Rhinolophus ferrumequinum: one gene and its partners. The protein of the gene in region 3 interacts with the protein of the main gene of each other region in a pairwise test. Links are inferred from orthologs where the notes say so. Each region holds a gene or a part of one and is shown on either strand. Other genes may lie near its edges.

Region 1 (7,872 bases), on a different chromosome or scaffold from region 3:
CCGTCATAAAGGGCCAGGCTGGGAGAGGACGGCAGACGTGGCCACTTACATTGGACACAAACACCTCACTCTGCCCGCTGTCCAGCATCTGCTCGAGCTCCTCATCGGACACCATCCCAGCGTTGGCTGTGAAGGAAAAAGCCAGGTTCAGAGCCGGGTCAGGCCCACCACCCGGCAGCCAGGCGCCACGACTCACTGATCTTCAGCTGCCTCCGAATGCGTTCCACGTTCTTCTCCCGGTACTCGGACTGCATCGAGTTGCACTTGTTGATGAGCTCCACGAATTGCTGGGACAGGACCCCGTGCTGAGGATGGAGAATATGCGCTGGGCACCTCTGGGAGGATCTCCACCCTGTCTGGACCTCGGCACTCCGTGAGCCAGCAGCACAGGCTTTCTAGGGACCTGCTGCCTTCATGACCTTGCAAGGTTGTTACCAGGACCTGGACCTGCCCTCCCCTGGCCTCCCTGGGACCCACCTCCTCCCACTGTGCCGCCCTCACTCCCTCCAGCCGCAGTGGGCTCCTTCCTCTTCCGGCACAGAGCACACCCCACCTCAGGACTCTGCACTCACTGTTCCTTCCGCCAAAACACTCAGGCCCCACAAGGTCTTAAGTTCCGATGGTACCTTCTGAACAAAACTGTCTCCACCTTACTGAAATTACAAGCCTTCTCCCAGCACTTTCAATCCCTCTTCTCCCACACCTTTCCCCTTAATACGTAATGATGTTATACAATCATGTTCTAGGGATGATTACGATTGTCTCCCCTCATGAGAATAGAAGCTCCCTGAGGACAGGGATCTTTGGTTCAACACTGGACCCCAAACAGCTGCTTGTTGAATGCCTGTTGAAACCAGCCTCACTGCTTAGAATGGACGGGTGCTAGTATGCATGCAGTTCAGACTGCTGCCCAGATTTTACAAGCCCACCTGGGCCCCCAGCCTCTCCCACTGATGACCATGGGTCCCTTTTGAAATGCCCTCCTGCCTTGTCCATGTGTCTGACGCCTTATTCCTTGGAGTTCCTTGCTCTCCTGGCCTCAGCTACACCCTTTCAAGATACCCAAATTGTGCCATCTTTAATCTGGGCTCCTTGCTGAGCTCTGAGCCCACCTACTCTGACTCTGACCTCCAAGAACTGCAAACCAGTTCTCAATGGACACACAGAGGGGGCCAGTCAGATCACCTCAAATCACCTTCCAAAGATGTTGACCCCAGGAGGTTCCTTTCCCTGGTTTCTTGAATTCTGCCCACGGGGCAGAGGGTGTCCCTGCCACCTGGGCAGGAAACCTCCCAGTCATTCATGATTGCACTCTCTTCTTCGTGGGCAGAATCACTAGCTACCAAGTCCTACCTGACTAATATTCTTGTTACCTAGTCAAGCTTAACTTCCTCTCTTGGCTCCTAAAAGCATGTCTCCCACAGCTGAGCCCAGGTCACCTCTGGGGAATCAGCAACGTCTCATTGAATGGAGCAGAAGAAGGCAGGGTGTTAAAATGGACTCGGAATCAGAAGAATCTGGCTTCTTGACCTTGAGTGAGTCCTTCCTCTCTTTGAGCCTCAGTTTCCCCATTTGGAAAATCATCAGGTTGGACTTGATGATCTCCAAGCACCTTTCCCTCTTACTTCTGTCGTCTAATGAGCTATGAAGCACATACTGAAATGTGTTCGTTCTGGGACTAACAAACCCACCTGGGTTTTTCTCATTCTTGTGTTGACCGAATTATAATTCTCATCGGCTTCCTCCTTCTGGGGCTCTATGGCTGTGGGAAGAACAAAGGTGTGGTGGGGGAGGGGGTTTGACCTGTAGCTTCTGAAAATTGTTTGGGCTTCAGGACACAGGGCCAGGGCCACACCCCAGCCACACAACAGGGAGGTGCTTGTCTCCATAAGATTTTTTCGGGACATATAATTTATCACTAAATGACTAATTCTGAGCCTCTGACAGGAGACAATACATTTTTCTTTGCAACACATCAGAGAATTCCCACAGCTATGCAGAGGCCACAGAACTAAACCCTCATCTTCCTGCCCAAAGAAGGCACACTGGGCAGCCAGAACTGTAGGAGTAAACGGTTTCATAATAAAGGAACCTGAGAAGCAGCCATGTGCTGTGCAAAGTGCTATGGACTGGCAACCCGGGAGATGGACATTCTAGATTGCTGTGACCTGGATTTATCACTGGCTTCTCTGGGGCACACACTCCCCAGATCTGTCAGGAGCTGGGCAGAACCCCAGGAAAGGATGTGTCTGAGGTCCTAGGAGCTCACCCTTCAGCTGCCCGCGGATCTCCCTCCCCAGCTGTTTGATCTCGTCGCGCAGGTTCTGCAGGTCCTGTTTCATGCCTGAACAAGAGAAAGCAGTCCCTACATCAACACATCTCCCTGGCCACCACCTGCGTGGAACTACAATCCCCAGAATCCCCTGGTTGAGCGTCTGTGCGTTCTGGATCCAGGTTTTCACTCACTCTCCTCGGGAAGGGGCGTGGCCAGGATGGTGACCTGCTGCTTCTCCAACTCTCGGACTTTATTCTCCAGCTTGACAATAGCCTGCCGAATTATCCGGACCTGGGAAGGGTGACCGAGAGGGCTGAAGGAGATATGGGGGTACTGCAGACCGCACTGCCCCTCGGGTCCTCCAGCCCTCTCGTGAATCCTGGCGGAGACCCCAGCCTTTTACCTTCTGGAAGAACGCATCGTCCGGGCTCTCCAGCCGTGCCGTGCCCGGGTGTACCACCAGGGCGACCCGCTCCTTGTCCTCGTCGTCCGAGCTGTCATCCCCCTGCCAGGGCCGGGTGCACTGGCATCACTTCCTTGCTGTGGCTCTGTCCCCGCAGGACTCTCGGGCTTCCGGGTCTTCCTAGCCCTCAAGCCACCCCTCCCTGCTCCGAAGACCAGGAGCCCTGCCTTCCAGCCAGACCCCAGCCTGTCCTCCCGTCCCACCCCTGCAGCCCCGACTTCTCACCTGCCTCAGCTCATGGGTCCTGTCCCGCATGGCGGCCCGAGCTCCCTCTTCCCAGCGCCTCAGCCCCGAGGGCCTCAAGATTCTAAGTTTGGAACTCCCGTACCCCACTCACACCCTGACACTCCCAGTCTGCCCTCACCCTGCGGATCCCCAAGCCCCCCGCGAGCCGCCAGAGGCTCTGTCCCTGACACCATCCACAGTCAATGGTAAGGAGCCGACCACAGTGACCCCCAGGGTTCCACAGGTCGGAATTCCCTTTTCTTTCCCCCCCTCCCGCTCCAGCAGCCTCGGCCCCGCCCACTCTGGGTTGACTCGGGGCATGCGCACCGGGTGGCGACTCTTCCCCACCCGAGAGAAAGGCGGAGGTCGGAAGCGACAGCGCCCCGAGCGGAAGCACCGCTGCCAGGTTGTGAGAGCCCGCCCCCTTGACCGGAACTGGGGCATCTTCCAACCGAAGTCCTGTTGCCAAAAGGAGTGGGGATGCGTCATGTGTATGTAATCGGAGCGGCCCTGCATCTCACATCACCCCATGGTACTCCCCTCGCGCCACGTGACTGGCCCGGTCCCAGCCTCCCGGGCCACCGAACGTGACGCTCTCACTGTCACGAGTCCCGGATTCTGTCAACAGAGCTCGTCTCTTGGAACACCCCTCGCCACGACGTCCCCGACCCCCGGCGCCCGAGCCACGGCCCTCCGGCTCCCACGAGGCGGGGACGGGGTGCTGACTCTCTCCAGAGACCTTGTGAGGCCCTGGGTGGCAGGGCTATTGATGAACTCGGCTCTGTTGCTTTTGAGTCCAGGGGCGTGTGCAGACGGACGACCTAGAACTGGAGGCTGTCAGCGCGATGGGACCTTGGAATCCAGAAAATGCTAAGCTCCGGCGTCAGAGACTTGCAGGGTTTTGAAGGCAGAGAAGCTGGGGGTGGGAAGTGACTTCACTCGAGGCAGAACTCTCTCCTCCCGCAGACTCGGGGTGCAGCCTCTGACGTGGGCGGCTGGCGCCCCGCTTGAACACAGCAGGCCGCCACCTTCTGAGCAGCCAGGGCAGTTAGACTGAGAAAAGCCTAGTCTGTATTGTATCGAGCCGTTTGCCTTACACCTGGGTCTACCCTCCGGGGCCCACACAAAAATCCGTCACAATGTTCCACTTTATAGGGAACTGAGTGCTCCGGAAGTACGGGCATGACTGTTTGGTTTTCACCCGAATCCCCAGCGCCTAGTTCCGTCCCTAGCACCTAATGTACTCCCAATAACTGTTTGTGGACAGAGTATTAGCTTTTCACGTGTCTGGAGAGAAAGCTCACGGTTCCTTGGTCTTCTCTTTTAGGCTTCAGGCTTTCACAGTGACGCTACCCTACTCAGGACCCTCTAGAGACATTCATTCATTCAGTAGATATTTATGGGGCACTTAATATGGGCCAGACACAGTTCTAGGAGCCAGAGATACATCACAGCCTAACAGATAAGAATACCTTGCACTTGTGGAGCTTACATGCATGAGGGAGAGTCCCCAAGGCGGCAGATTGAGTCTCAGCACACCCGGAATGACTGACAGGTCCCCGGGATCCCAGGGCTCTTTCCCAGGGAGATTTTATGAAGGTTCAAGCAGGGGAAGGAATGTCCCCTCTCTAGTATGTCCTGGTAAGGAAACCTAGACTCCTATGCCCGAGTTGCTGTGGACTTCTGGAAAGTCACTTGTCGTCTTTGGGCTTCCGTCTCCCATCTACGCAATAGGAGGCAGTAGGGGGATGGGGAGATAATCTTTATGTGTATTCTCTGCTGTGAAATTCAATGTTTATGTGGTTGGAAACTGGCAAGTGCTGTCTGATTCTGTATGAGGGTTTTGATCCTTCTTCTCTTCCCTTTAGAACCCAGCTGGGCTGGGAGCAGGAATGAAGGAATGAGAATGCTGCCACACTGATCGAGTGTTGCAAGCACCTATAAGGGCAATCGCTACACTTCAGTCTCTTCCTGAAAGTCAGGGGGACATTAACCCCTGGGCAGGGCCCTACGTCCCTGCGTGGTACTTGCGACATGAGTGGGGAACAAAGTCCTGGCACACAGGTTCAGATAGAGTAACACAGCTTTATTTGGGAGCCAATGTCCCTCCAGAGGCCAGTGCTCTGGCAAGCACAGAAGGTTGTACAGAGTAGAATAGACTTTAATAACAAACCAAGTCCCAGAGTCAATCGGGATGGAGAAGGTTCCTGGTCCGGGAGAGGCGACTGGGCCCACGAAGTGTCTGAGGCGAGCTGGTCTTGCGAGGAAGAACTTCGGAGAGTCCGGGAGTATCACAGCTTGCATCTTGCAGAGGGTCTTAGCCGGAGTGCCCAGTTGACCACTCATGGCACTGCTCTGGAGTTCTGCTTTTATCTTCTTTTCCTTGCACTTGTTTACTTCTTAGGTGATAACCAGAAGTGGTTTGCCAGGAGTTGTTTATCTCTTAGGTGATAACCAGAAGTTGTTTTGGTAAAGATGTTTATCACTCAATTTTGTTATGCTCAGTTTCACACAAAAACATGTTTTTCACTTCACTCTTATCCGTCTCACACATGTGTGGCCATAGTCCTGTCCCTAGTAAACAACTTGTTTTGCAAACATATATAATACATTTTCTATGCTCTATACATCAAGCCACTGGAAAATTAAGGCTTGGAGGGCTTTTCAGGAGCCAAGCCCTGGCCCGTGGGCTCCTCTGATGGTCCTAAGGAAGGGTTTCTTCCCTTCTCTTGGGTGTTCCATATCAGCCTCTCTGCCCCCCTGAACCGCACCCCTTTTCTCTCTGTCTCTGTCTATCTCTCATACTCCGTCTCAAGCTTGAGTGGTACAGTGGAAGGAATTTTGGATATCTCGCTACTGGTTCTGGGTGTGATTTTAAATAATTCATTGCTCCTCTCTGGGGCTCAGTTTCTCCCTGGTTATTTCCATCTTGCCTAAGGTAAGAGCTGAAGAGTACCAAGAGCGGTTAGGAAGGACATGGAAGGGTTTTGTGAAGTATCGAGGGTTCCCACTCTGCAGGCTTTTACTGCTGTGGGTTCAGCTCTCTGGGCCCACCTGTCTCTCTCTGCTTCTCAGCCTTTGCTGACATGCCTTCTTGGTTCCCAGCTGTGTTTTGGAGTTGTTGCTGACTTTCTTAAATTGCTCAGGAGTATGATAGTCATGATTTTATTTGTGGTCTTTGGGTGGAATCGCGGGGCTTTGGGAGGGTGTCTTAACGTTCCCAGGGATCAAAGCCTTGTGGACCGGTGTGTGCAGGGGATAGGGGTGAGGGGCCGTCTAGGGAAAATGGCTCTTGGGATGGGGCCCTCCAGAGCTGAACCCCTATCTCTGTGCCATGGTCCTCTGTTGCTCAGGCCCGCTCAGCAGCCTGGAAGTGGGTATTAGGCATATTGGGTCTTGGATGTGCGGGTGTTGGTGGTGTGTGTGTGTTTTCCTTTCAGTCCGTGTAAGGATCAGGTCCTACCTGGTCCTGTGGCTTGGCAGCGTGCCCTGTCCCTTCCACTTGTAGGCTCGTCCTACCAACACTGGAGCTAGACGGCCTGGCCTGGAACCCCAGCTCGTTCACCTACTGTATGACTCTATAAGGCAGGTTACCTAACCTCTCCCTGCCTCAGTTTCCTCATTTGAAAAATGGGAACAATAACAGTACCAGCCTCTTACACAGGGCTGCTGTAAGGATGACATGAGATGACACATGTAAAGTGACTAGAACAGTGCCTGGTAGGCAGTAAGCGTCGTGGAAGTGTTTGCTGCTATGACCTGAGGTCTGACGGTGGTTGTTACTAGGAAGGCGTCTGCAGCCCCAGTATCCTCTCCAGGGACCCCACTCTGCTGCTTATCCAAGGTGTCTGTCCCCTTTCCATCTCCTGAGCCCCACTGTGTTGGTCCTAAGCTGCTAGCCTTGCCAACTCCTGCAAATCTCTCCTGTCTGTGCTTGGATCTGACACATCATATTTTGCTTGTTTATTTTATACATTGTCTGTCCTCACCCCTCCTCTCCACCCTACTAGAAAACAAGCTCCCTGAGGACAGGGATTTTCACCTGTGTTGCTTACGGCTGTGTCCCCGGCTCCTACGGCACAACTCTGCCTGGCACAGAGGAGCTGGTCAATATATATTCAAATCGAATGAAATTATTTCTCTTTAATTTAAAATGTCTATAGCACTTACTGCGTGCCAGGCACCGACAGGCACTTCATAAATATTTACTCACTTAATCCTCGTATCAATTCTGTGAGAGTTCTATTATCATTCTCATTTCACGGAGGAGGAAACTGAAACACACAGTCATTAAGTAACCGATGTCCATATGCCAGCTCCCCGACACAACGTGTCAGGATAAACGCCATAAAAATACTAGAAGAAAATATGGACGAAATCCTTTCTAACACTTGGAGTGAGAAAGGCCTTTCCAACTGCAGCTAAACTTTCAGAAGCTATAAAATAGAAGATTAATATATTTGTCTACATGAAAATTTTCTGCACGGCAAAAACATCAAAGCAAAATCAAAAGACAACAGACTGGAAAAAAAATTGTAATTCTTATCAAAAGGCTAATATCCCTACTATTTAAAGAGCTCCCACATATTGACAAGGAAAACCAACAGTTCAATAGAAAATATGAAAAAAAATATGACAGACAGATCACAAAAAAATACATAAAGACTTGAAGACATATGCAGATGTTCCACTTCATACATAATAAGAAATGGAAAGTTAAGACAATACTGAAATACCATGTTTTATTGCATTCGCAATAAAAAAAATTAAAAATCCATATATTTGATAAAACACTCTTTTGGCAAAAGTCGGGGGGAGACAGAGATTTTCACCCATTGTTGGTGGGAATGCAAAATCATATACCCTAGACAATATTTATCAAAATTCCAAATGCATGTGCACTTTGAAC
Region 2 (7,220 bases), on a different chromosome or scaffold from region 3:
GGGTACCTTTCAGGGGCGATCAGTAGTATTTGGGGGTTGAAGCTGAGGAAGCGTTTTAATACAAGATAGGCAGGGTAGGTTGGGTTTCATTGTAAAGGGCTTTAAATGCCAGGCTGAGAGATTTGTACATTTGTAGGTGGTGGGGGTTACTGGTTTTTGAGAGGACAGTGCTGTGGTCAGAGCTGTGAGCCTGTAAGAGTGTGGAGGATAAATTGGAGAGGAAGCAGTTCAGAGACTGTTGCCATAATCCAGGGAAGTGATACAGACCCTGAACCAAGGTGGGAGGGTGAGCAAATGTGAGAAGGACCATAGGTTCGGGCTGTACAGCTCCTGGGGAGAGACTTGCTTGGGCTTTGTGGGAGGGGTACTTTGAGGGAGAGATCGACATTTAGCGTCTGGAACCCAGAACATGGAACTCAAAAGAAGCTGGTGTCTGACTTTGGCCAAACCCTAAATCCAAACCAGTCCCATTTCAGTCCTTTCAGAGTTATTGATTCTGACTCCCTGGTGTCTGACTCAAGAGTCAGAAAGACCTGTGGGGCCGGGTGACCCCAGATGGAGCTGTGGAATACAAAGGCATTCTCTGCTTTGGAGTATCACAGACTTGATTTCCAGCTCTGGTTCTGACATTCACAGCTCAGTGGGCAAATCTTTTAATTGCTCAGAGCTTGTTTCCTCACTTATAAAACTGGTAAAGCCTCCCTCTGTTGAGGAAATTAAACAACGGGAAGCTGGAAGCTGCCAAGCCCTGTCCAGACCAGAGTTGCCTAGAGGCTTCCTTAGGAACAGGCCTGTAGGAATTTAGTTTAGTTAATTTGGGGGTGGGTTGAAGGGAGCCTAGAGGATACTTTCACTTTTTTTTTTTTTAACTAAGTCTATCTTCCCTCTGCAGCACCCTCATCACATGTGTGGATTCTGGGATTCTTCGAGTCTGGGGTGACAATGACAAGGAGACATCCTCCGGCCCAGTGAGGCTCCCCTGCCCTGATCCCTGTGGTTGGGGAAGGAGGGGGCCAGGGTGGGAGCTGAATGAAAGCTTTGGGGGAAGAGGATTAAGGACTCTGGAACTGACTCTCATCCCTCATCTCATCTCCCATTCTTTTCAGCTCCTGGAACTGAGGGTGGGCCCTGGGGTGTGTAGGATGCGCCAAGACCCAGTGCACCCCCACGTAGTTGCCACGGGTGGGAAAGAGAATGCTTTGAAGGTGTGGGACCTGCAGGGGTCTGAGGAGCCTGTGTTCAGAGCCAAGAATGTGAGTGATGGGTGGGGAGGGGCTGGGTCTGAGGTCCAGGGAACTGAGGCCATTATGAGTCAGAGACCATGGCTTTAGGGGTGATGGAGGGCCGAAGGAAGGGACACATTGAGCACCCCACAACCCTGCCCCCCATCTACCCACCCCACCAGGTACGGAATGACTGGCTTGACCTGCGAGTTCCCATCTGGGACCAGGACATACAGTTCCTCCCTGAGTCACAGAAGCTTGTCACCTGTACAGGGTACCATCAGGTGAGAGACCACCCCATCCCTACCTCCTGGCTTAACCTCCCAACCTGGAGGATCGCTTCCCTCATCCCTGTCCATTTATGCTCCTAACGGCTCTCCCCCAACCCCCTAACACTCAGAAGAGGGATATATTTCAAATGAGAAAGTTTCTCTAAGAGTGGGTTATAAACAGCAAAGCAGTATATGAAGGGGGTGTTGAAGACGTGGGGAAGCCATAGGGGGGTATGTGGAGTGAGGGTACCCTGTGATACCGCAGTCTTCCTCCAGGTCCGTGTCTATGATCCAGCCTCCCCCCAGCGCCGGCCGGTTCTAGAGGCCACCTATGGAGAGTACCCACTGACAGCCATGACTCTCACTCCTGGGGGCAAGTGAGTGTTTAGAGGGCAAAGAGTGGGGTCAGGAAGGACTCTTGGAGGCTCCTGCTGACCCCACTTTCCTCTGACCTCCTCCTCAGTTCAGTGATTGTGGGGAACACTCATGGGCAGCTGGCAGAAATTGACCTTCGGCAAGGTAGTGGACTGGGGAGCCTTGGGGGAGGGGAAGGGTAGGATGCCCTCTAAGGCACGACAGTAGAGCGGTTGAGCCCTCATTCAGGTATTAGGTTATCTGAGTTCAAATCCTGGTTTCAAAAGCTGTACGACCTTGTACAAATTACTTTGACTCGCTGTGCCTTAGTTCCTTCACCTGTGAAATGGAGATATTAATGGTAATTTCTACTTCAGCGTTATGTTAAGGATTAAATATTGAAATGTAAAGTGATTTGAATAGTAAACAATAAATGGTTGTTGGCTGGTCAGCTGGCACTGATGCTTACCCCCTTCTCCAGGGCGCCTACTGGGCTGTCTGAAGGGGCTAGCGGGCAGTGTCCGAGGGTTGCAATGCCACCCTTCAAAGCCCCTCCTAGCCTCCTGTGGTTTGGACAGAATCTTGAGGGTACACAGGATCCGGAATCCACGGGGCCTGGAGCATAAGGTGAGAGCCTGCTGCCAAATGTGCCCCCATTCATGTTTCTATTTCATGCTTGGTTCCTTAAGGTACCTCATCTTTTGCAGGTTTATCTCAAATCTCAACTGAACTGCCTTCTCCTGTCAGGCAGGGATAACTGGGAGGTGAGCAGTTGTGTCTGGGAATGTGGGAGCCAAGGACGTAGATGTGAGGATTTATTTCCCTGTGGGAAGAAAAAAGGAAGCAGCTGGAACAGAGACCTGGGACTATCCATCTACCTGTCGCATTACTTAATTTTTGTGAGGAATGTTAATAGTTACAGTCCTGACAGGGTTACTGCCAAGGGTGACAGGAACATGGGTGGGAATGAGTTCCCAGAGCAGGAAATAAAAGTGATTGTTTCCCAGCTAGAGCCTCCTTCCCAGTGGGTCTATGACTGTGTCCTTGACACTGAAGCTCTTCTCCACTCACCAGGATGAGCCCCAAGAGCCTCAAGATCCCAGTAAGGTGCCCCTAGAAGACACAGAGGCAGATGAACTTTGGGCCTCTTTGGAGGCTGCTGCCAAACGGAAGCTCCCTGATTTGGAACGGACCCCAGGAGCTCTCCAAACCAGAAAGAGAAACAAGAAGCGGCCTGGCTCCACCAGCCCCTGAAGAGCCTGTGTTCACTTTGTAAATAAACAGCTCGACACCCACCATGACTCGGAGCCTTTTGTGATGGTAGAAATGAAAGAGGGGTGGCTGCTCTCTAAGCTGAGGCGATGGGATATCTGACGTCACAAAAGCCTGGTGAGAGCCAGGTGGGCTGGAGTGGGTGGTACCCAGTGCCGGGCTTGCACAGGCCATGGGCTGCTGCCAAGACAAGGACTTTCAAACCTCCAAGGGTCACGCCAAGGAGGCCCAATCAGAGGAAGTGGAAGAGGAAGGTGGGATGAGACACACCAGGGGACCCAGGGGGCTGGAGAGGGGGAGGGCCCAGGAGGTTGGACGGGGAGGGTAGAGCTGAGCTGAGCAGCCTTGTCATTCCCGCAGACACCGAAGGGATTGATGTGGACTCGTCGGACCACCAGAATCCCAAGCGTAACAAAAGCCTGTTGATCACCGTGCTGTGGAGGCGGCTATCCATGTTCAGCCGTCGGGGCTCCACGCGGTCAAACAGGAGGCAATCAATCCAGAATCAAAAGCATGGGTGTATGTTACAGAACAACGCGGAGAAGGTCCTGGAGGAGCCGGAGAAGGGGTGACCCCAGCCCTGCTCTCAGTTCACCCCATTCAGAGAATAAAGTTTCTAACGTGTACTTGCCGGAGCGCTTATGCTTCGGCTGCCTGCTCTGGGCGAACAAGGCACGGGAACCACCGGGGCTGCGGTCTCTTTAAGGCTCCTCCGCTGAGGCTGGCCCAGCCCCCTGGGTCCAGGCTCTGGTTCCTAGGGAGCGGAGTCAGGGGAGAGGCCTAGCCAATGGGAGGGCGAGAGCCTCCCATTGCGTTTGGGTGGGGGGCGTGTCCCTTGGGTTGCCGAGTTCAAAAAGGCGTGGCACCGCCTCCTCGTCACCGGGGGTGGGGTTACGTGTGGGTGACGTGGCGGCTTCTAGTCTTTGGTCGGGTTTCCGCGGCTTCGGCGCCCGGGGAGGAGGTGGTGACGACCCGGGAGATTGTGGTAGCGGCGGCAGCGGCAGGCGGCAGAGAGGAGGTAGGACTCGCTCTAAGAGGGGTCTGGCGGCCGTGTCAGCCCCCGGTAGTGGCTTTCCGGAGGTGGCGATGGGCGGGGGGAAGGGAACTAGGGGCGCGCGGACAAGTCCTGCCGGCCCGGCTCCGGGTGAGCGAGTACCGCGCCGTCCAATCAGGAAAGCTCCTGTTGAGAAAGACGTCGGCATTACCTAATCAATAGTTGCCGTCTTCCAGAAGGCGGGGCTTGAGCGGAGGTGGGACTTCCTGTTTCAAATAAACACCCAGAGATTTCCCCCCTCCGCCCACCGAAGTGTGTACCCCTCCGGAGGTCGGTCTTCGTTTCTCCCTGAGGAGTCGAAGAAACCCGTGAATACGAGAGGGCCCAGTTAGGGCCTACGGCAGATGCACAGACTGGGCTGGAGCCTTGGGTCCACGGGACCTGCCTTTAGCCCTGTCTCTGCTTCAGGGACCCCGGCCCACGTTCTGGCTGCCTGAGCCAAGGTGGAAGAAGAGGCTGAGGAGGGGAACGGCTTAGGCCGGAGAGGAAGCGGGGGGTCCTGCCCATTGAGGGCCGGCCCCAGGATCTGAGGGTGGCTTTGGGACCCAAGGATTTGCTGGTTGGGGGGAATTTGTGGGGAAGGAGACTGCCTGGAGAATGACACTCTCCCCTCCACAACAGTCCGAGGTTATGCGTCTCAATGATCCCGCGGAAACGCTACGGGTCTAAGAACACGGATCAGGGTGTCTACCTGGGTCTCTCAAAGACACAGGTCCTGTCCCCTGCAACTGCTGGCAGTAGCAGCAGCGACATCGCCCCTCTGCCCCCCCCAGTGGCCCTGGTCCCTCCCCCTCCCGACACCATGTCCTGCCGGGATCGGACCCAGGAGTTCCTGTCTGCCTGCAAGTCCCTGCAGAGCCGTCAGGTAAGGACCAGAAGTGGGAAAGGCAGGAATGAGCTTTACTCAAATTTGGGAGAGGCTGTGCTCCAGCACTGTTGATTGATGTAATTTTTTTTTTTTTTTGATTGGAGTAATTTTTGTCGGAAACTCTTGGAGAACTGATCAGGCTTGCAGGCTTGGAGGGGGCAATAGAGAATCTACTAAGAGGTGGGCAACCTATCTAGAGGCAAGCATCCAGACTTTTTTTGTGAGGAATCCCCTGGAAGGTAGGGTTGCTATTCTGGAAGGAATATCTCAGGATGAGAGGTGGCTGCAATATATTTCGTTTGGATAAGGAGCAGGTTCTCAAAAGAGCCTTTAACCCAGAGACAAGCACTTTGAGTTCTAGTTCTGGTGGAGTTCTACCACTATTTGCTCTGTGACCACGGGGAAGTTAGTTGGACCTCAGTTTTTATATATGTAATTTTTATCAAACTCACTTTGAAGTGCTTTTCTTAAAAATTGCTTTCCCTTGTCTCAATCCGGACTTTATGAATCTAAGTGGGATCTGTGTGACTGTAATTTTATTAAATATTTTTACTGCTCAGCTCTTGTTAGCAACTGTTCTTCTGTATGAGCTTTCCAATTATCCTCTTCAATTCCCTGATTGGAGTACAGTGGTAGAGTGGTGATAGGAACTATTATTTATTTGGTGTTCTCAATGTTCCAGCTATTTGGCTAAAATACTTTGCAACCGTCTTCTTGTTTAATCTTAGCAACGATAATATGAGGTGTGTGGATTGTCTTCATTTTATAGAAGAGGAAACAGATTCAGAATGGTTTCAGTAACTTGCCCCCAACCCCCCAGTTAGTAAGTGGTGGAGTCAAGATTTGAACCCAGGTCTTCCTGTCTTCAACTATGGACTCTAAACTACTGCTACTGATAAAATTAGACCGTCTGGTGGAGGATGCCACTGGTACTAGACAGAGAGTTTAGTGGACACCTGAAAACAGTGAAAGCTGGAAATGGGGAGGGGGAATTAAAGTTTCACCTGTTGACATTGCTTTTCAGAATGGAATACAGACAAACAAACCAGCTCTGCGTGCTGTCCGGCAGCGCAGTGAATTCACACTCATGGCCAAGTGAGTTGGGAGAAGTTATGTGGTGTGCTGATACAGTGTCGGAGGAGAAGTGGGCTTGCCTTTGGTGGCCTGGCAGTGAGGGCAGGATTGGTTGTGCTGGAGCTAGTGTGGAAATAGACCCTTTCCCACAGTGTTCTCACTCTTGCGTCTTTACAGGCGCATTGGGAAAGACCTCAGCAACACATTTGCCAAGCTGGAGAAGCTGACAATCTGTGAGTGTTCTTGCGGTGTTTCAGAGATGGGGCAGTGAACCAAAGAGGGCTGAGGAATTGACTCCCTGAGCCTTGTCTTTGACCTCACCCTTCTTGCCTTCTTGTTTGTCTCTGCAGTGGCAAAGCGCAAGTCCCTCTTTGATGATAAAGCAGTGGAAATTGAGGAGCTAACGTATATCATCAAACAGGTGAGCTACTAGCTAGCAGGAGAGCCCAGCACTCCTGTCGGGTCACATCCATCATTTTCCATTGCCATGGAGACCCAGAGCAAGTTCCTAGAGCCAGCCCAAACATCCTGCTCATCCATTGAGTCAATAGAAACTTACTGATCATCTGCTGTATACAAAGCGCTGTGATGAGCACTTGCCTTACAAACATGAGGCAAGATTTCTGCCTTCAGGGGCTTATTGTCTAGAAGAGGTAACCAGCCCCATAAACTCAGACTTACAGTGAATAGGAGGAAAGTGTGCTGAAAAGATCATACAAAAAGATAAATGAGATAGTCTAGGGACACTGGGAAATATTTCATAGAGGAGGTCAAATCTGAGCTGGTTTCAAGGTTTGTGTAGAGGCCGTGGAAGAACATTCCAGACAGAGGAAACAGTGTTTGCAGAGGCATGGCGTGTACAAGGGAAAGCTCAAGTCTTTGCTCAGGTGTTATCTGTTCAGGGAGGCCTACCTTGAACATGCTGTTTAATAATCTAGCACCAAAACTCTGATCTTTCCTACCTTAATTTGTTTTTGTTTGTTTATTTGTCTTTAATAACGATGTATTCTAACATTTTCTATAATTAATTTATTATTATTTGTTTGTCTCTCTTTCCTCCCACCTACCTCATCCCTCTCAAAAAAAAAAAAAATAAGTGTCAC
Region 3 (7,245 bases):
AATGCCAATTTATAAATTTGTAATGAACACCATGATGTCTTTGGGGACCAGAACACACCTATTGGTCCTCAGTGCATAGTCTCCCTGTCTTAGTTTGTGTCCTCCCAGAAGTGGACCTTGAGACAAGGATTCTAGAGAAAGCAATTTATTGGAGGTGACACTGGGCATCACCAGTAGGGGTATGGGGTCACAGAAGAGAAGGAGGCCAAAAAAGGGTACAGAACAAGCCAGTTTCTACTGTCAGCAACTAGAGCTCATTCCCACTGGGACCTCCGGGAGACTGTAGAATATTGTTCAGAATTGTCCCGGCAGATGGGTATTTATCCTCCAACTTCCCAACAGTCACTGATTGAGGGCTGCTCCCAAGAGGCAGAGACCAATTAATTCCCATATTGATGAAGTTAATTTACCACCCCTTCCACTTACTCCTCTAGCATTCAAGCAGAGAAGACTGAAGTCCAAAGAGAATTCGCAGGAGAATTGCAAGTGCTGGCAGTTGGGACCAGGAGGCATAGGAATATTAAGTGCTAGTCATGGTCAGAAGTTTCCTACTGATTTTGGAATCAGAAGGAGAGGAGGAGGGTGACACTAAGTGAACTTAGTAACTGGTAGCTGCTGTTGCACCGTTGAGTAGTGAGAGTCAGCTGCACGCAGCTACATTGCAGGCACTCGCCCAGTGCACTGGGTACCTGCGCTGGACAGTGAGGACACCAGCCATGCAATCCTGGAGGTGCACTGCATTTGTACCCACTGCACTCTCCATTGGTACCAGAATCCACACAGGACTCTCTTTGCACCACACTCCTTCTATGAGCACATGCAGATGGATGGCCACACCTTGTTTTCCATGTAGGTCTGACCCTGCCTCTCTTAGAGCTGCATGTTCTCAAGTGGCTTCAGCCTTGCCTTTGCAGACCACCTCTCAGGATGGGTAGTTGAACACTTGACATTCCAATCTAGCTTCTGTGTGTTCACTCAGTCTGAGTGTCTGTGTCCACCCTAATCTGCTCATAGGGAAAAGCCAGAGATTCTGTTTGGTTTTGCCTCGTTCTGGGTACAGGGTCTTTCTTTCCTGCTCCATCTTTTCAGAAACTGTCTGAAGACTTTTCCCTTTTTCTTTGTCTCAGTGTCCAGGGCTGCTGAAAGGCATAGGTGTACAGACCAGCATTGTCCGTTAGAACCTTGTGCAATGACAAAAATGTTCTATATTTGTGCAGTCCAATATGGTAGCCACTAGTTACATGTGGCTATTGAGTAGTTGAAATGTGGCTAGTGTGACTGAGGAATGAAATTTTACATTTCATTTCATATTATTTGATTTAAACTAAAATGGCCACCTGTGGTGAGTGGCTTCCATCCTAATCAGCATGGGTGTAGATCCATGGATCCTTTGGATCTACTCTGGGACCAGCTTCTACTTGAGGGTCTCATTCCCTCTCTATTCCACACCAGAGCAGGTCTCCTTTAGCCTCCTCCTGCAAGGATTCCTCATCTTTTTTCTAGTCCCTACTCTGTGAGGTTTGTCTCTCTGCTCTGTTATCTCCACTCACCTACCATAGCCTCTGGGATAAGAAAACACTTGCTCTACACAACAATTAAGGTTTGAAGTTTTTTGCTAAATCTGATAGATAGCATGGGGTGTGGGCTGGGGGAAGGGTGGGAGTGCCTGTTAGGTTTCCTGTGAGAAAGAAGAAAATGGGGGAAATACCAGGAAACATAAAAAATGTCAATATATACTTTTGCAACCCTTAACTGCAAGTTCTAGTTTAGAGGAGGCAGTTAATTCTATCTCCGTTTTAGTTGACTACAGGTTTGAGAATCTAGAATTGTAAGCTTTAGAACAGTCATGGAGAGGTGTTTTTAAAATGTGTACTTCCTGGACCCCAACTCTAGGAAATACTGATACAAAAAGCTAGTGGCTTAGGAATCAGTATTTCTGGGAGTTTCCGCATTGAGCTAAGTCTGGGAACTGCTTTAATCAACAAACTGATGCTGCACTTCAGAGCTTTTGAGTTGGCCCCACTCTATTAAGTCCCCATGGACTGCTCTGCTTTTCAAATTCTTATGTCCACTTTTTTCAGTTTTCTTTTTTACTCCTGCATTTACTGCCACCTCCAATTTCCTTCCCTTTTTTTCCCCCATACTGCTCCAAAAGTTAGAATAATGCATGTAATAATAGTAAATAAACTCTGCCTTAAGATCGGAGATTTCCTTCTATCTCTAGAGTGTCCTGCAATGCATAAAACTGTGACATTTGCTTTAGTTATCTTTCTCTCTAGGAGTTTGGCCCTTCTTTCCTTGCTCTCTAAAGGCAAACTACATTTTCTTAGATATATTTTGTGTGCCAGTGCCCACAGTGTACTTACTAATAATTTGAAATTGTCACAAGTTTTCATTTGGCAGTGATTTATATGTTTGCTTTGCCACCTCTGCTTTAGCATTGCCAAATGTAATGGTCTAGACTTTGTATTAAAAAAATAATAACTCCTTCTGGGACAGTTCTGGAAATGTTTGGCATATGATTAGCATCTATCTATGGATACTTCTCTTAAGAGATTAGAACTCTTCCTGGCATGCAGGAATTGTGTCCCAGGAGACCCACCCCCTACGGCCAGCATTATATAAAGGATAAGACAGCTCAATGGCAAACATCCACCAAAAAGAATTCAGTCAATAAAAAGACTGGAGTATGTATATATTGCATATATGCAACTTATTTATAACCAAGGAAGAGAGGAGCAACAGAACGTTGCAATATGGGAAGCCTGAAAAATAACTCTGAATTTATATCGGGGGAAATGATACATTCTTAAATGGCTTGCTCTAGAAATAAAAATGGCTCTTTCTGCCAGCTGTTGCTTGTGGGTGGGTGGACGCTACACATTTAATGAAGTTGTTTTCTGTGGCTGCTGTCAATGTAAGAAACACCCATACCTGTAGAGAAGTTTAGAGTTTTTTGAGCCAAACTGATGACAATTGCTAGGAAGCAAAATCTCAGTGGGTTAATAAAACTCCAGAGAATGGCAGTTTTCCAGCTTATTTCATATATTAGGAAGGAAGAGGTGTAAGGAAGGTGGGAGAAAGCAAAGAGGGGAAATCTCTGGGATTGGTTGAAACGGAGAGACACATACTTCTTTTACATTGGTGAGTACAGGATAGTTAATAATTAACATTTTACAGCACATAGAGATGGTATTCTGGGAACAAGAGAACAATAAGGGTTCTGTCTGGTGCGATGGACTGTGTCCTGAGGGGTCTGGAAAAAAGGATTGCTCTGACATTCCAAGGGTATGTTATCTTAGATATACAACAACAACAGACTCACTTAAGATAAAGATCGGCCTTTGTTTGTCAGGGGAAGTACTGGCCAAGGATGTGACTACTCACCATGACCCCTTTTAATTAGTAATTTTTTTTTTGTTTAGACCATCCTATATGGTTAATTTCAGTCTCTGAGTTTGTAGGACCTACCATGCTGGCCTCCTCTGAGTTTGTCAGATTTAGTAGTATGTGGCCCCTTTTTCATCCACACTGCATTAGATTCCCTTTTGTGGAACTCGACTGGCCTGCAGGTGGAGCACTCCATTATGTTATCCTGTTTCCTCATCCATCCCATTGCCAACTGTCAGTCCTACTGAGAAGGAATTCCTGAACCAACTGTGATGCTGAGGGTTGAGGCGATCCTTACGGAAAGCCACGGGTAATTTCCCAATTCCCCGCATACTTAAACGATTAAACTCACCAAGGCTTAGGATCACCCTTCGGAAACCACCGGTGTGGGCGGTTTGCAAGCTCGGATCCCATCCCCACCCACTCTGAGCCCTGCTGGGAACTGTAGTTGATGCGTTGCGCAACCTGGCCGCCAGGGTGGACCCGGGACTACAAATCCCGTGAGGCAGAGCGCGCCGTGCCTGCGCTCCCCGCCCCTGCGAGGGTAGAGCGGGGAAGACGCTCCCCTGCCGGCTGAGGAGGCTGTGGTGGCTGCGGCTGGCGACATGGACAACGCGGGGAAGGAGCGTGAGGCAGTCCAGCTGATGGCGGAGGCCGAGAAGCGAGTCAAGGCCTCCCACTCCTTCCTCCGAGGGCTGTTTGGGTAAGCGTCAGGCCGCGCGTGCCCTGAGGGAGTTTCTGTCCCAAGCTCCTTCCCCGCCTGGCTGCCCTCCAAGCTTCCCTTGGGGCCTCCTAGATTCCTCCAGAGATTCCCTAGCGCCCCCAGGCCTCGCCATAACGCGATCTCTAAACCCCCCAGATCGCCCCAGGCATCCCCTACGCACCCTCCAGAGATCCTCTGGGACCCCAGAGCCCCCCCCCCCTTCTTCTGATCCCCTGCCCTCTCCGTGACCCCCGGAGCACGGCGCTATTCTTGCATTGGTGCGGGGGTTCCCACGGCCTCACAGGTCCATTGCATTCCAGGGTGTGCGTGGGCCTTCACCGCAGTGGCGAGGCCGATTTGTTCATTTCACCGCATAGCTCGGGAGACCTGTGCCAGGTCAGCGGGAGGAGCCGGAGGGACGGGTCCTGGGACTCCTGGCCGGTGCATCTGGGGGTGGGGGGATTGTCCCGCTGGGCGGTGGGCCCCGCGGAAGAGCAGACGGCCGCAGCGACCCCACTCCAGTGTTCATATGCCCATTTGCCTTGCGCCAAGTAGGGATTTAATAAATATTCGTTGTATGAACGAATATGTTTTCTCAGCGTAATATTTTTCCTTCACCAGAGATTAATGTAATAGCCAGGGCCTCCTGTTTGGTTAAGGATAATGCAGCTCCTGTTTAAGTCTGCATCTTTTGGGAATCCTTTAATTTCTTATAATTCTTCCATGTTCTTCTAGGGAAAGTTTTACATTCGGACTTCCCAAAAAGCACTGATGGTTTTGGAAGAATTATGGGTGGTTGAATATGAATGATTCAGCTGTTTAGGATAAGAGGCAGAAATTTCGTGGTGATTTTTGTTTTTGAAAGTGAAAGATCCTCTGTAGACACCAGGAGCATATTCTTGAGAAGGACAAAGTGGCAGTTTTATTTCTGTACAATTTCAGTTTGGAATTTGCTTGTTTTGCCACCTCTGTTCTTTTGGTTATAATGCTTTGCCCTTGTTGACACATCTCCAGGAAATGCTTAAATGCAGGTTTCATGCAATGCAAAGTAGTATGGGATACAAAGATGCATAAAGGTAAGGGTTCCTGTCCTCAAGAACTTCTCAGAGGGCATTTATCCCAGCAGGGTTCTAAGTTTCTCATGTATGTGTAGTTTGAAATACGTATAGCAATGAATTGTAAGTTTGTTCCCCTTTAAAAGTTACCACAGTACATAAGGAGTACTGCCTAATACTTGATGTGAATACTAAGCAATTGTTCCTTTTTCTGATTCAGAAAATGTTTAAAATTTATTCAGATAAAATTTAATGTCATAGCACCTAATGCCACGTCACAGCGTATTTCAAGTCAAGATATCCTTTCTTGGAAGAGAATTTGTAATTGGCAGAAGAACAAAGCATTTTAGCACTTGATGCTTGTTTCAGGGGAACACACTGCTTTTTGTGAAGAGGTGTTGCATTACTGTTTTTTATGAAACTACACCAAATAATTGAGTCAATAATCCTAAAAGGATTTTGAAGCAGCTGTTTTGTTTTTAAACATCTTTTTTTCTTCTTGACTGTTGATCACCTATTTCATTGACAGGCCATATAGGAAGACTTTCATCTTCACCATTCACACTCAATTTGTACCATCCTAGGCCTGACCTGGATACAGCAGATCAGTTTATTGTCCTAGCTTTCGGACCTGAGGCAAGTGACTTAGCCTCTCTGTGCCTCAGTTTCCTCTGCTATAAAAAGAGGGTAAGAATAGTATATCTCACAGTGAAGGTTCAATGAGTTTATGTTTGTAAAATGTTTAGAACAGCTGGAAATAATTAGCATATTCATCAAAATTGTCAGTCCCATTTATTTGTCAAGGAAGCAGAAAGCCCGGCAGATTAAATGACTTTACCAAGATTTCAGAGCCAAAGACCCTATGGACTGGATCACTGTGGTCTTTTAATGAAATAAAATATTTGAAAGAGCCATACAAATGTTATTTATAAATGTACCATATAAATGTTATTTATATTATGAAGGACTGTGTTATTGGATCAGTGATACTTGGCTGCAGGAAAGGTTGGGGAAGAAGAGTACTCAGAGTTCTGTGAGTTTTAATTGTATAATTATTTGAAGTAAAAAACTGCACCTAGTTTCTTTCTCAGTTATAATGGAAAGGCAGATTTTGTATCAATTTTGGATGTTTAGAATCTTACATTATATCTGGCATCACTTGGACCTACCGTGTTTCCCCGAAAATAAGACCTAGCCGGACAATTGGCTCTAATGCGTCTTTTGGAGCAAAAATGAATATGAGACCCAGTATTACATTATATTATATTATATTATATTATATTATATTATATGAGACCCGGTCTAGTAAAATAAGACCAAGTCTTATATTAATTTTTGCTTCAAAAGGCGCATTAGAGCTGATTGTCTGGCTAGGTCTTATTTTCGGGGAAACATGGTGTCCCTCTTTCTAGGGTGGAATACATGTTACTCCATCCTGCTTCCCGTTCCTCATCTATAGAATTTTCCCATGTACTTGTTATTCTTTATTTAAACCACAGTGTACTCCATCTCCATGTCAGACTTCTGAATTAACAAAACACACATACTGATAGGAGTGTCATCTGAGACCGTATATTTAAGAGCTGACCAATTAGTACTTTAAAGGGGACAGGTGATGCTGTTTTGAGGATGTAGTAGCCATTAAAATTTGCTCAGTATTTTGCAGATATTTCACATCATAGACTTCCTCTTAAACTGCAGATTAAAACCTATTAGTTCAGAAGGAGATCCAAGATGGCAGACTAGATAAATGCTGTGCTTGCCTTATCCTGTGAACATATCAAAATTACAACTAAATTATAGAACAATCAACCTGGAGAACCATCTGAAGTCTAACTGAATGGAAGTTTTATAATTAAGGATATGAAGAAGAAGCCATGTTGGGACTGGTAGGAGGGGCAGAGACGTGAAACGGGTTGGTCCCACACCCACATGTAGTGGTTGAAAATTGGGAGAGATATCTTGGCCACAGAGGTTCCCCACGAAGGAGTGAGGGACCCGAGGAGCCCCCACAACTTCTGGATATGGAAAACAGTGGGAATTCTGACTGCCCAGGTGGGACGGAAGGTTGCGGGAAACCCAAACATCCTCTTAAAG

The links.
Region 1: the proteins of NAPB (region 3) and STX4 interact in binary tests that used the Homo sapiens proteins (3 or more experiments, as listed by UniProt). The two-hybrid records come from large-scale screens. The link is inferred for Rhinolophus ferrumequinum from reciprocal best matches to the Homo sapiens genes NAPB and STX4.
Region 2: the proteins of NAPB (region 3) and STX5 interact in binary tests that used the Homo sapiens proteins (3 or more experiments, as listed by UniProt). The two-hybrid records come from large-scale screens. The link is inferred for Rhinolophus ferrumequinum from reciprocal best matches to the Homo sapiens genes NAPB and STX5.

The regions. Positions count from the first base shown.
Region 1 is NW_022680357.1:328,216-336,087, forward strand, and holds the start of STX4 (syntaxin-4), read right to left. Parts: upstream 3,237-7,872; 5' UTR 2,994-3,236; coding exon 2,964-2,993; intron 2,781-2,963; coding exon 2,679-2,780; intron 2,567-2,678; coding exon 2,467-2,566; intron 2,345-2,466; coding exon 2,270-2,344; intron 1,763-2,269; coding exon 1,692-1,762; intron 306-1,691; coding exon 197-305; intron 127-196; coding exon 50-126; intron 1-49. UniProt on the Homo sapiens protein: Plasma membrane t-SNARE that mediates docking of transport vesicles. Necessary for the translocation of SLC2A4 from intracellular vesicles to the plasma membrane.
Region 2 is NC_046294.1:8,020,380-8,027,599, forward strand, and holds the start of STX5 (syntaxin-5), read left to right. Parts: upstream 1-3,984; 5' UTR 3,985-4,139; intron 4,140-4,350; exon of another isoform or gene 4,351-4,796; 5' UTR 4,797-4,815; coding exon 4,816-5,040; intron 5,041-6,067; coding exon 6,068-6,138; intron 6,139-6,294; coding exon 6,295-6,350; intron 6,351-6,467; coding exon 6,468-6,538; intron 6,539-7,220. Other genes in the region: WDR74 (WD repeat-containing protein 74), read left to right, coding at 893-968, 1,107-1,253, 1,406-1,507, 1,772-1,872, 1,959-2,014, 2,331-2,476, 2,557-2,613, 2,924-3,103; TEX54 (testis-expressed protein 54), read left to right, coding at 3,294-3,375, 3,482-3,693. UniProt on the Homo sapiens protein: Mediates endoplasmic reticulum to Golgi transport.
Region 3 is NC_046306.1:43,857,569-43,864,813, reverse strand, and holds the start of NAPB (beta-soluble NSF attachment protein), read left to right. Parts: upstream 1-3,904; 5' UTR 3,905-3,995; coding exon 3,996-4,093; intron 4,094-7,245. UniProt on the Homo sapiens protein: Required for vesicular transport between the endoplasmic reticulum and the Golgi apparatus.